Linked DNA regions of Drosophila melanogaster. The protein of the gene in region 2 interacts with the protein of the main gene of each other region in a pairwise test. Each region holds a gene or a part of one and is shown on either strand. Other genes may lie near its edges.

What was found. Proteins that work in one complex are often made in the same cells at the same time.
Region 1: the proteins of CG3598 (region 2) and PGAP3 interact in a two-hybrid assay, tested with the Drosophila melanogaster proteins (one large-scale study listed by BioGRID).

What each region holds. Positions count from the first base shown.
Region 1 is NT_033778.4:6,671,621-6,675,870, reverse strand, and holds PGAP3 (Post-GPI attachment to proteins 3), read right to left. Parts: upstream 2,268-4,250; 5' UTR 2,190-2,267; coding exon 2,054-2,189; intron 1,998-2,053; coding exon 1,681-1,997; intron 1,611-1,680; coding exon 1,144-1,610; coding exon of another isoform or gene 1,091-1,143; coding exon 1,018-1,090; 3' UTR 810-1,017; downstream 1-809. Other genes in the region: CG17266 (uncharacterized protein), read left to right, coding at 181-264, 331-798; Hsepi (heparan sulfate C5-epimerase), read left to right, coding at 2,830-2,928, 2,985-4,250. UniProt on the Drosophila melanogaster protein: Involved in the lipid remodeling steps of GPI-anchor maturation.
Region 2 is NC_004354.4:2,933,787-2,939,947, reverse strand, and holds CG3598 (uncharacterized protein), read right to left. Parts: upstream 2,922-6,161; 5' UTR 2,821-2,921; coding exon 2,002-2,820; 3' UTR 1,875-2,001; downstream 1-1,874. Other genes in the region: CG14420 (uncharacterized protein), read right to left, coding at 1-293, 396-465; CG3592 (uncharacterized protein), read right to left, coding at 4,029-4,778.

The sequences.
Region 1 (4,250 bases), on a different chromosome or scaffold from region 2:
CAAAATATAAACAAGCACTTGGCACACGTGTGCTATCGATATAACCGGCTTGTGATGCTATCGACTTGTCGTGCATCGTCATCGAACCATCGTAATAAACATAAACAAAAATCTGCCGGCTTAGTAAAATCTTAATCTTGACTTGTTAGAAAGTTTATAAACAAATAAAATAATTTTAAAATGCCTAACTGGAATCAAATACAGTCCCAACTGAGAAGCTCCAACAATCCCGTCGTTTTCTTCGACATTGCCGTAGGCACAACGGTGAGCTGAAAACAATCTAGTCATAATCTGTACATAACTCCGCCTTCTAACGCCTTTTGTGTGCAGGAAATCGGACGAATGATATTCGAACTCTTTGCGGACACAGTGCCCCGCACGGCGGAAAACTTCCGGCAGTTCTGCACGGGCGAGTACCGACCGGATGGCGTTCCCATTGGCTACAAAGGCGCCAGTTTCCATCGGGTGATCAAGGACTTCATGATCCAGGGCGGCGACTTTGTGCAGGGCGACGGCACCGGCGTGACCAGCATATACGGCAACACCTTCGGCGACGAGAACTTTACCCTGAAGCACGACTCGCCCGGCCTCCTTTCCATGGCAAACAGTGGCAAGGAGACGAACGGCTGCCAATTCTTTATCACCTGCGCCAAGTGCAACTTTTTAGACGGAAAGCACGTGGTGTTCGGTCGGGTTCTGGATGGACTGCTCATCATGCGCAAGATCGAGAACGTGCCCACGGGCCCCAATAACAAGCCGAAGCTCCCAGTGACCATTTCGCAGTGCGGGCAAATGTAGCACGGAGTTCTAAATGTTGTAATAAAGTCTCTATTATGTCTTTTTAAACGAAGCTATTAGTTTTCCTGCCGTTCTGGTTACTGTCAAAGGATGTTTTCGCTTTGACATTCAATAAAATACATTACATGTTTTCGCTCTGTTACAAATTACATGAAATATGTCAGAAAAATTGCCAGATAGCTTTGCGTGCTTTAAGGGCTAAGAATAACTTAGATAATACTAATTGTAGAATGAATAGCCGCCCGCCGCAGCCTTCTCCTTTCGCAGGGTTCGACAGTCCTCTATCATGAAGCTAAAATGCAAACACATGTAGCAATATTAGAATAAAGTAATATTTCTACGCACTCATAGTATAGGGATGCCAGAGGAATTGTTGCCAAGTGCCACAGAGCATGAGCATCCAGAATCCAGAGGATGGGCGGAAAGTCAAGCAGTTCAAGGCTCATAGCCAACGCCATGAGAATATAGAAACGCAGGATCCTTCTAAAGTAGGGCCTGCGGGTGCGCACAAAGTGACACCAAACGAACCATCCCACTGCCGCTATAACTCCCGTAGCCACGTTTACCATCATGTTGAACGCATAGTTGAACCGTCCCACGCTCAGGTAGGCAAAGTAGTTAATGTAGTAGGAGAGGAATGCCAACGTGATAACACCCCGTAGGAACAGCGAGTAGCGGTGCAGCATCCGCATGACCATGACGTAAAGTGAGCACAAGATGATGGAATAGGCAAAGGCGTAGTCCAGCAGCTCGGTCAGTGGAAAGTCCCTTGTGTGAAAGATGGCGGACCAGATCCAGCCGTTGAGACTCGTCTGGAAGAGTAAGGATCGAGGGAACTTAGTATAACGACTTTATTGGCTGATCGTGTAAATAAAGGCATACCACTGCGAATATGTGGGTCAGCATATAGCAGGGACTGTCCGGACGCACTTCTCGGCGGAACTTGCGTAACAAGCGCAGGTGAACGACAAAATTCAGGCAGGAGAAGATAACTGAGGCCGGCTCCTGCATGCCCAGCAGGCGGAGAAAGGGCCACTTGCCGTAGAACTGGGGAATCGGCCAACCGCGTTCAAAGAAGGCGAACACCGTTCGCCACATGCATCCATACTGACACTCGTCCGCGCAGCTCCACTGGAAGAGCCGGTCAAACACCGACTGCTGGTAAAACTTGACTGCCTGCTCCTGGATCTCCAGTCCATCTGCCAATGGAAGCTTGCTCTTAAGACTTGCAATTAAAGTGGATAGCACTTCTCACCTGCCGAGCAGTTCGTTCGCTCGCAGTTCTGTCGGCAATTGTGAAAAAACTGTGTGCGGTCGCCGTTGGAGGCGAGGCAGGCGGTCACTAACGCCCCAAGGAGCAAGACTATTGCACTTAAACTACGACTAGACATTACTAAAACTAGTTAAACGCGCCTTCTCACCGACATCCACCCGAAATATTTTGTAAACATTGCACTATTGATTAATCGCCGTCGTGTTGATGCTATCGGTTCGTCGATAGTTGTCAGCATGCGTATGGGAACATTTGAAAATACCAATGAATTTATAAATAAAAGTTCATTTTCAACCAAAGGAGGAATATAAACTATTTAAACTCGAAAATTAAACTATTTAAATTACTTAGCTACAGAAGTAACGATGCACACGGTTAATGCTTGTTATCGATAGCTTACGTGCATAGGCCGCCCAAGAGCGACCATTTGTCATATGTCAAAACATTTGCTCATCTGTATCGCAGTTTCTGTGTTTTCGCAGTGTTCGCCCATTAAAGCGAGAAGAGCAGCGCAAATCTAAGCAAAATATGCTTAGTGAGAACTGGATGCACTTGAAATATCAACTTTGGATGGCCCTGGACTGAACTCAGAGGGCTACAGGCTCGGCAGGTGGAATTTTAGACAGAGACAGTGAAAGAGACGTACGCGTACTGGTGCACCATTATCATCGTCAGCAATGCATCTGCCAGATGAATGCAGTTTTAAATTTAGAGCATGACTCACCTAGAAGCCAGTTAGAGAGTTCGCCCCCAACCGAATGTCCAAATATCTAAGCAGTCAGAGAGATGCCCTTTCCGCACCCGCGCTTCCAGTAAGCAGGGAAAACCGGGAGCCACCTAAATTCCAAGGGGTAAAGGTAACAATGTCTATTTCGTCGTGTTATCAGTTGGCTAATCTTAGAATTTTCTTTAGCAACGCGAGCCACTGGTCTTTTTCATCATGCGACTGAACCTAAAAGCCGTGCTGCTTGTCCTCACAGTGGCTGTGGTGGTAATCACTCTGGGCGTGTATATGCGCTGCGCCGCCTTCTCCTTTTCGCCGGACTTTGTGCGTCCTCTGGACCGGTCCGCAAGGCAGTCCTCCAGCGGAGGAGAAGCTACAGCGCTGCACGACATTGAGTGCTCCATTAACCAGGAGTACACCGTGCACTGCAAGCGAGACGAGAACGCCAACGAGGTTTACGTTCCGTTTTCCTTCCTGCGTAACTACTTCGACGTCAGTGGAGCAGTTTCCACCAACAGCAATGAGGTGGCCAAGTTCAACTGGGTGCACAGCACAGCCAAAGTTAACCTTCCCAGGGGAAAGTACGATGCGCGCGGCGTCTATATGTACTTTGAGAACTACAACGTGGAAGTGCGCGACCGGGTAAAGTGCATCAGTGCCGCGGAGGGCGTTCCAGTGAGCACGCAATGGGAGAAGCGTGGGTACTTTTACCCCACACAAATTGCCCAGTTCGCGTTGTCGCACTACAGCAAGAACCTCACAGAGCCGGCACCCAGGGTTCGCGTGTTGGAGGACGGCGACGGGAACCAGATGGAATGGAGTACGCCCAAGACCAGCAACATGACCCGCATCTGGCACCACAAGTTTAACACCAGTGTTGTCCAGTTCGAGACGGCACCTGGTTACGAAGGCGTCATCAGCATTGCTCTAAACCAGACATTGGATCTTCTGCTCAGCGTTGATCTGCTCCTGGTAACCAATAGCAGTAGTCTCATGATTACCGTTCAGAATCGGGACACCCGTCACAACTACAGCCTGCACTACATACCCGCAGATCTGCTGCTGAGCGTGCAGGATACAAACATCTACTACGGTCTGGGAGGCTCGGCACTGAACAAGTGGCGCCACATCACTCGAGACCTGCACATTGACCTTCAAAAGGGCATCATGGGTGACAAACGCTCGCCGCTAAAGATACGGCGCTCCGATCTGGAGGTAATATCTATTGGCTTTCTGGGCCTTGGCTTCTTCGACAATATCACCTTGTCCACCAGTGACCATCTGGCTCACTTCTACGACGCGGCTGAGTGGTTCGTCCACAACCAGGACCCCAAGACGGGTGGCTGGACCAATCCTGTGCGTCGCAGCCTCAACGGCTTTGCCGAATTGCGTCCGGGGTGGATATCAGCCATGGGCCAGGGACACGCTATTTCAGTGCTGGCACGAGCCTACTGG
Region 2 (6,161 bases):
CTCATCATCTTCCTCAACATCGTCTTGAATTGCGGGGAAGGCACGACCGGTGGTGGTGTCGGAGGTTGTGGGCGTCGTGGTGCTCGTCGAGGTGCCAGTGGACGTTGTTGGTGCAGTCGGCGTGGTCGTCTCCGTAGTGGAGGTGGGCGTGGTGGTGGTAGTGGGGGCAACCGTGGTCGTCGTGGTGGTGCCCTTCAGAGATGTCAGCTTGTTGGCAATCGACGAGGTGAAGCGGGCCTCCATCTGAGCGTCGGAGGCGCGTCCACCCAGGCGGTACACATTGCGGCGTTCGGCTGAGATAAAATATTTTAAAATTATACGAAATATTTAAGGAACATATAAAGAAAGTAGTTGTGACTTGACTGACGACTTTCTGTTAATATTTGAGGACTCACCCAAGGTAGTGGATGGGGCTAAGAGGGCGCAAAGGGCCACAGCCAGACTCAGTTGAAGCAGGCAATGCATTCTGCAGATGGATTCTCCTTATCGGGATAATCGGCTTCCTTGACTGTGGATCGAGGGTTCCTAACTCACTTGTTGTCTTTGAGTTTTCACTCACAACTGACTGACAACTGATGGACTGACCCGGGATTTTATACCCACTTGGAGCTCATACAGCTGATCGATGGCTATCATCCGCCCCGCATCCCCATTTCCTTTCAGTTCCCACTTCTTGGCCAGCTCTATTAGCAAAAGTTCGCCCGGGGTCAAAGTGAACCGGGTCGCGGGTCAGAGGCGTACGAATTTTATGCTAATTTCCCATCTCTTTTGCCAAAACCATTCTTCTATCCATCGCCGAGTAGCCGATGATTGATTGACGTCAAGCCGAGATTGACCCACGGAATCTGGCTTACACAGATGTTCTGGGATGTCAGTTCTCTGCTTGCTTCAGCTCACTCAGTGCTCGGCATTTCCACACCAAAGAATGGAGTACTCAACTGAAGTCTCCAAATTCGTTTCGAAAAAATCAAAACTTAATGAAATCTCAAAATTTATAATTTACAAAGGGTTCGCGATTTATTGCATAGTTCGGAGGCAAATCTTTTCTTGACAACGATTCCAAAATATGTGCTTATCTATTTTTGTATGTTTGCTCTCCCAAAAACAATGACAAAATATAATCAGAATGCGACATCAAATTATTTCAATAAATATATATTTTAATTTTCCATATAACATTTGTATTGTACATACTGTTATTGTGTAATTATTTCGTGACTTTTTAAAACTTTCATTTGATTAATATATATATTTGGATAAGACCAAAAGTATCTTTGGTTCCAATATACGACAATCAAATGAATTTTATCTCTAAACGGTTATTTTTCGGTAGTACCTATTTTGTTGGCCAAACGATTAGCAAAAATAGTTTACTACGAAACTTTTACAGTTCTATAGAGATGTTCTCAAATGAGTTTCTCTACCATTGTTTGTATATATGTGTGTACCATCTGATTTTCGGATCCTTTATCATACAAAATTTGCAGTTATTAATTCATATATCATACTTTTGATAGCCTATGGGCATTAAGTGACTTATAACTAAGGTTGTGTCGAAGTTAAAGGATAAACTGGAATAAAGCTGAACCATGATACAAATAAACTCCATGATAAATGCAAATTTTTCTATCAATGGAGCTAAGCAGTGATCTATTTTGAGGCAAAGCAATCTTATGTATCTTATACACTGCTAGGAAATGGTACACCATATATGATAAATAAATAATAAAGTTATACAAGTAGTATACGATGTTTTACGGCAAAACCTTTAAAATAAGTTTCAACTTAATGATTCAAAACCATAGTCTTTGCATGTTGGTTAATTTCACATCATAATTTCACCACCCATAAAAAATACGAAAAAAAATATTTATAATTTTCATATCACATTTTATTTGTCGCATCGTCATCAAGTGTCTCAAATTTCTTGTCCTGATCGTTAGGGGATCTTAACTATAATACTATATAGAAATGGGGCTAGGACGACCTTCGTTTCGTGTCTCAACCCTGGAATACGACCTGTCCGCGGCGCCTCTGGTTGCCACGCCTACGGTTGCCGCCTTGGGGGCGAATGACGCGTACATTGCGCCTGCGGTTGCCACCCACTCGGCGACGCCTTTGGGCGGGGCGGCGGCGTCGGATATTGTTGTTGTTGATGCCGCGGCGGCGAATGTTCCTGCGTCCGTTGTTCTTGCGGCGACGAACTACCACGCGGTTGGCGCGCTCTTCCTCGATTTCATCAACGGATGAGGCGGATCGCTCCATAAGAGCCACCACCGCGCCATCGGGAATGGCGTCTAGGGCGGCACGAGGCACTAGGAGAGCCGCCTTGCCGGTCTTCTCGTCCAGAACACTCTGACCCTCGATCTCGATAATGCCATCGGGCACCATAATGGCACCAGCCTGATCCCGGTTAACCATCATCTGCTTCTTGGGCAGCTCATCCTGAACGTGATCCTGCTCCTGATCCTGATCATCGTCCTGTTCGTCATCAGCGTGGTTCTGCCTGTAAGCCAGACCGCTGCGGGCAAAGTTCAGGCCCAGCTGATGCTCCAGTTCCTCGTCATCCTCCGTCTCGTCATCGTGCTGGTCCTCATCATGTAGATCATCATCTTCCTCCTCGACAATTTCGAAGCCCTGGACGACGGCGCCGGCGTTGGCCCGACCCTTGGGAATTGACAGGAAGAGGTAGGGATGCTGCTGCGCCCTTTGACCCTGCACCTGATTGCGCCCCTGAACGTGCTGAAGGCGTGGCTCGGCCAAGGCCACGGCCACAAACAGGCACAAGCCCACCAACAAGATAGCACCCAGCTTGGACATCTTGTTTTTTTTTTTTTTTTTTGAAGATTTCTCGACGTAAAGTGCACAGAAATTAAAGATTTACTGCCGACCGGATCCTAATTGTAAGCAAGGCCCAAACAGAACTGTACGATCTGTGGCGGCGGCATTAGGTTTTTATGCGAAAAAGTTCTGGCCAAAAATCCAGAATCCATAATCTAGAACCCATAGAAACCGAGAAGAGAGAGCCCACTCAGGCCACAAGAACATTGGTCATAATTGCGGTCGATGTCGGCATAATTTCAAGTGGCGAAATTTTGTGGAAGAAATGTAGAAAATGGTGAAAAATAGAATTAGAAACGAATGTCAGTGACCCGCCGGTGGGACAAAAGAAAGAGCGCTGAATAAATCAGCAGCCGCCGAATCAAAAAGTCGAAGATCACCAAAAACACCAAAGGCCCAAAAAAAAAAAAAAGCGCCGCGGTCATGCTAATGACAAAACAATCAGAGACACGCACAAATCTCGGCATCCCAAGAGACCGAGAAACCCGAGAAGTCAAGGGCCGATCCGAACCTATGATGGACCTGCTCTCGGAGTCAGCGACGCATGCGAAGTGGTCGTATCCCATCCCCGGCCACCGGTCATATACCCAATGACCAATGTGAATATCGATGAAAGGGGTGTATGGTATAGGGGGCAAATGTGTATTCCAGCATCGCTGATTGATCGAGCCACGTTGGGATGGAATTATGCCTTTGTCCCGTGATTAATATGCCAGCCAAGAGGCTTCTTATGCGTGGAAATGGCCAATTGTACAGGTGAAAGACTGAAGGTTGGCCAATATTTCACATGCGAGCCCTCTGTAATTTTACTGTTTTCTTTAGTCGTGCAATAAATCTACAATTTTTGACACGGAATTTATTATTTCTTAATTAAACAATGTTGAAACTTGTTTAAAATCTTAGGCATACTGCAATATGACCAAATAGCAAGCATAGATATTAAAGTGTTTTTGTTTTCCAAGGGATTTCTCAGTTGAAAGTCAGAAAGTATGCTAATGTTTCTTTCGAAATTGATTAACAAACTTCACTTGATCTTCCAAATATTTGCTGTCATGCTGAATAGAATTCCTATAAATGTAATTTTTGTGTGATTTACTTTTTTATATGGTAGGGCTTAGAAAATATAAACATTTTGCAATTGCCTTCAGCACTTCAATTTAATTATTCACAATGCTTGGTCATAAAATTTAATTGTGAAGGTGATCAATTTTCAATCCGATGGCTTTGAACCAGCTGTTGGGTAGCAAATGGACAATGTCTCTACAGAGGCAGAGGAACTCGTAGCTAACCACTGAAATGGTGGCGGCCAGCGTGGAGATCCTGAGCCTTTTAATTTTCCAACTACTCCACTCCCGTCGTGCGAATCCCAAATTGAGGGCGAACCACTGACTGCACGAGAGGAGCACAAAGCCACACAAGCCCATCAATCGGTGGATGACGTGCAGAGCCAGGTGGGTGAAGCACACCAGGGCGAAACCACTGGCCACGGCCCCAGCGATAAGCAGGAATCCCAAAAGGCCACACAATCCATGTTTGGAATTAAAGTGCGGCTCATGTATCTTGCTCTTGAAGATACTCTTCGCGAATATCCCCACCAGTCCCAGCCAAAGTCCCACCATTCCCAATACCATGTGCAGAAGGTTGAGCCGGTTTTCGGAGATGAAGTCTCCTAACCACCAGGAGTGGCATACCAACAGAGATTCACCCACGCATAGAAACAGTCCCAAAATGGCGTATAGGGCATGCTGGCCGCTGCTGTGGTCATCCAAACCCGAGGTCTTTTTGACCATCACCACGGTTATTACGATCAGCAGGATGTGGGCCAAAAGCTCCAGAATGATCCTGTAGAGGTTCACCTCGAAAACGGCTACCAAAAGTGGCCATGCGAACTCATAGAAAACCAATTTTGCAGTGGTTGCGTTCTCCCCTTGACTCATTTCCAGATTTGAGTTTTTTTTTTTTTACCTCACAGCTTTTAGATATAAAAGTGATATTGCAGTCATGGCCATTCTGACTAATTTAAACTAATTATTATTTGCAAATAGTTTGGATAATAATATGAGTGTTCAAATGCAATATTTGCCTCGGTCCTTTAACCATTTTTTATAGCTGCCCACTGGAAACTGGAATATATTTACCAAAGTCAATTCTATATTCTTAAATTTCTATTCATTTCGCTTTTTATTAATTTTCAACAGGTTGAAATTCATCGGCAAAAATTTAAAAAGATCAAAGAAGTATTTTTAGAAAATAGAATAGTTTATTCCCTCCAGCAATTTAGGAACTGTGCCTTTAATATATACCGATATTATCTCATTTCATAAATATTCATAGTGAAATATAATTTCCAAAATGTTAGATCATTTTGTAATGCCTAAAAAAGACTTTTAACTTTCCAAGTTCGAAGAGTACAGAGTTTAGTAACTGTTTTTTTTTTTTTAATCTAGATCTGGAAATTGGTTTCAAAGTTTGTGGGAACGCATAAATTAATTTTTGTTTTTGTGGTCTTCAATTTTTAACTCTTACTAACTGTTGGGCCAAATTGGGTCATCCAAAAATTAGCATATATGTATGTTGTATATAAATTCGCTAAACGGTCTTAAATATATTTCATAAATCCGCTAATTTGAAATCGATTTTCTCCCCCCAAAAAAATGAAATCCACAAGCACTTGGGTCAATTTTATGCAAACTTATTTTATTCAAGACATTCAAGAAGTCACAGTAAAATCCGCTTGGCAACAGGCTGCGGAAACTGCTGCGAAAAATTTCTAAAATAAAAGAAACGCAAACTTAATTTCCATAAGAATGTGCCGCAGGAGAAGTTCAACGGGGTCAGGCCTCAAAGATTCATATTCAAACGAGGCAACGGCACAAAGAAAGCTGCTGTCCAGTTTTGGTTTTTCAGTTTTTGTCCAACTCCGGCAGCTGGCTAATAAATTGGCCTAAGTCCGAATTATGGGCTGGGCCCAATTGAGTTGAAAGTTCATTGCCCGTTCTTTGGCTCTTCTCAGGCTTTAATTATATGGCCAAAACCGATTCGGCAGGTGCTGACCTTTGCCTGGGGCGGGGGGGAATTTATGACCAAATATCTGCACACACGCCTAAATTGAAGAATACAAATCCAAAATACGAATCTTTCTTCGGGCTTTTCTGCCTGGCAGCATCCAGCTTCTTTAGCCAGCTTTTTGGCCACTTGCCTGAGCGTTAACCCCGGCCTATTGTCGTTGGAAACAATTAACGATCGCCTGCCTGAATAATGCTGGAATAATGTTGTCAACTGGCCAGCTGAAGTGCTCGCATGTTGGCCTAATAGTGTCC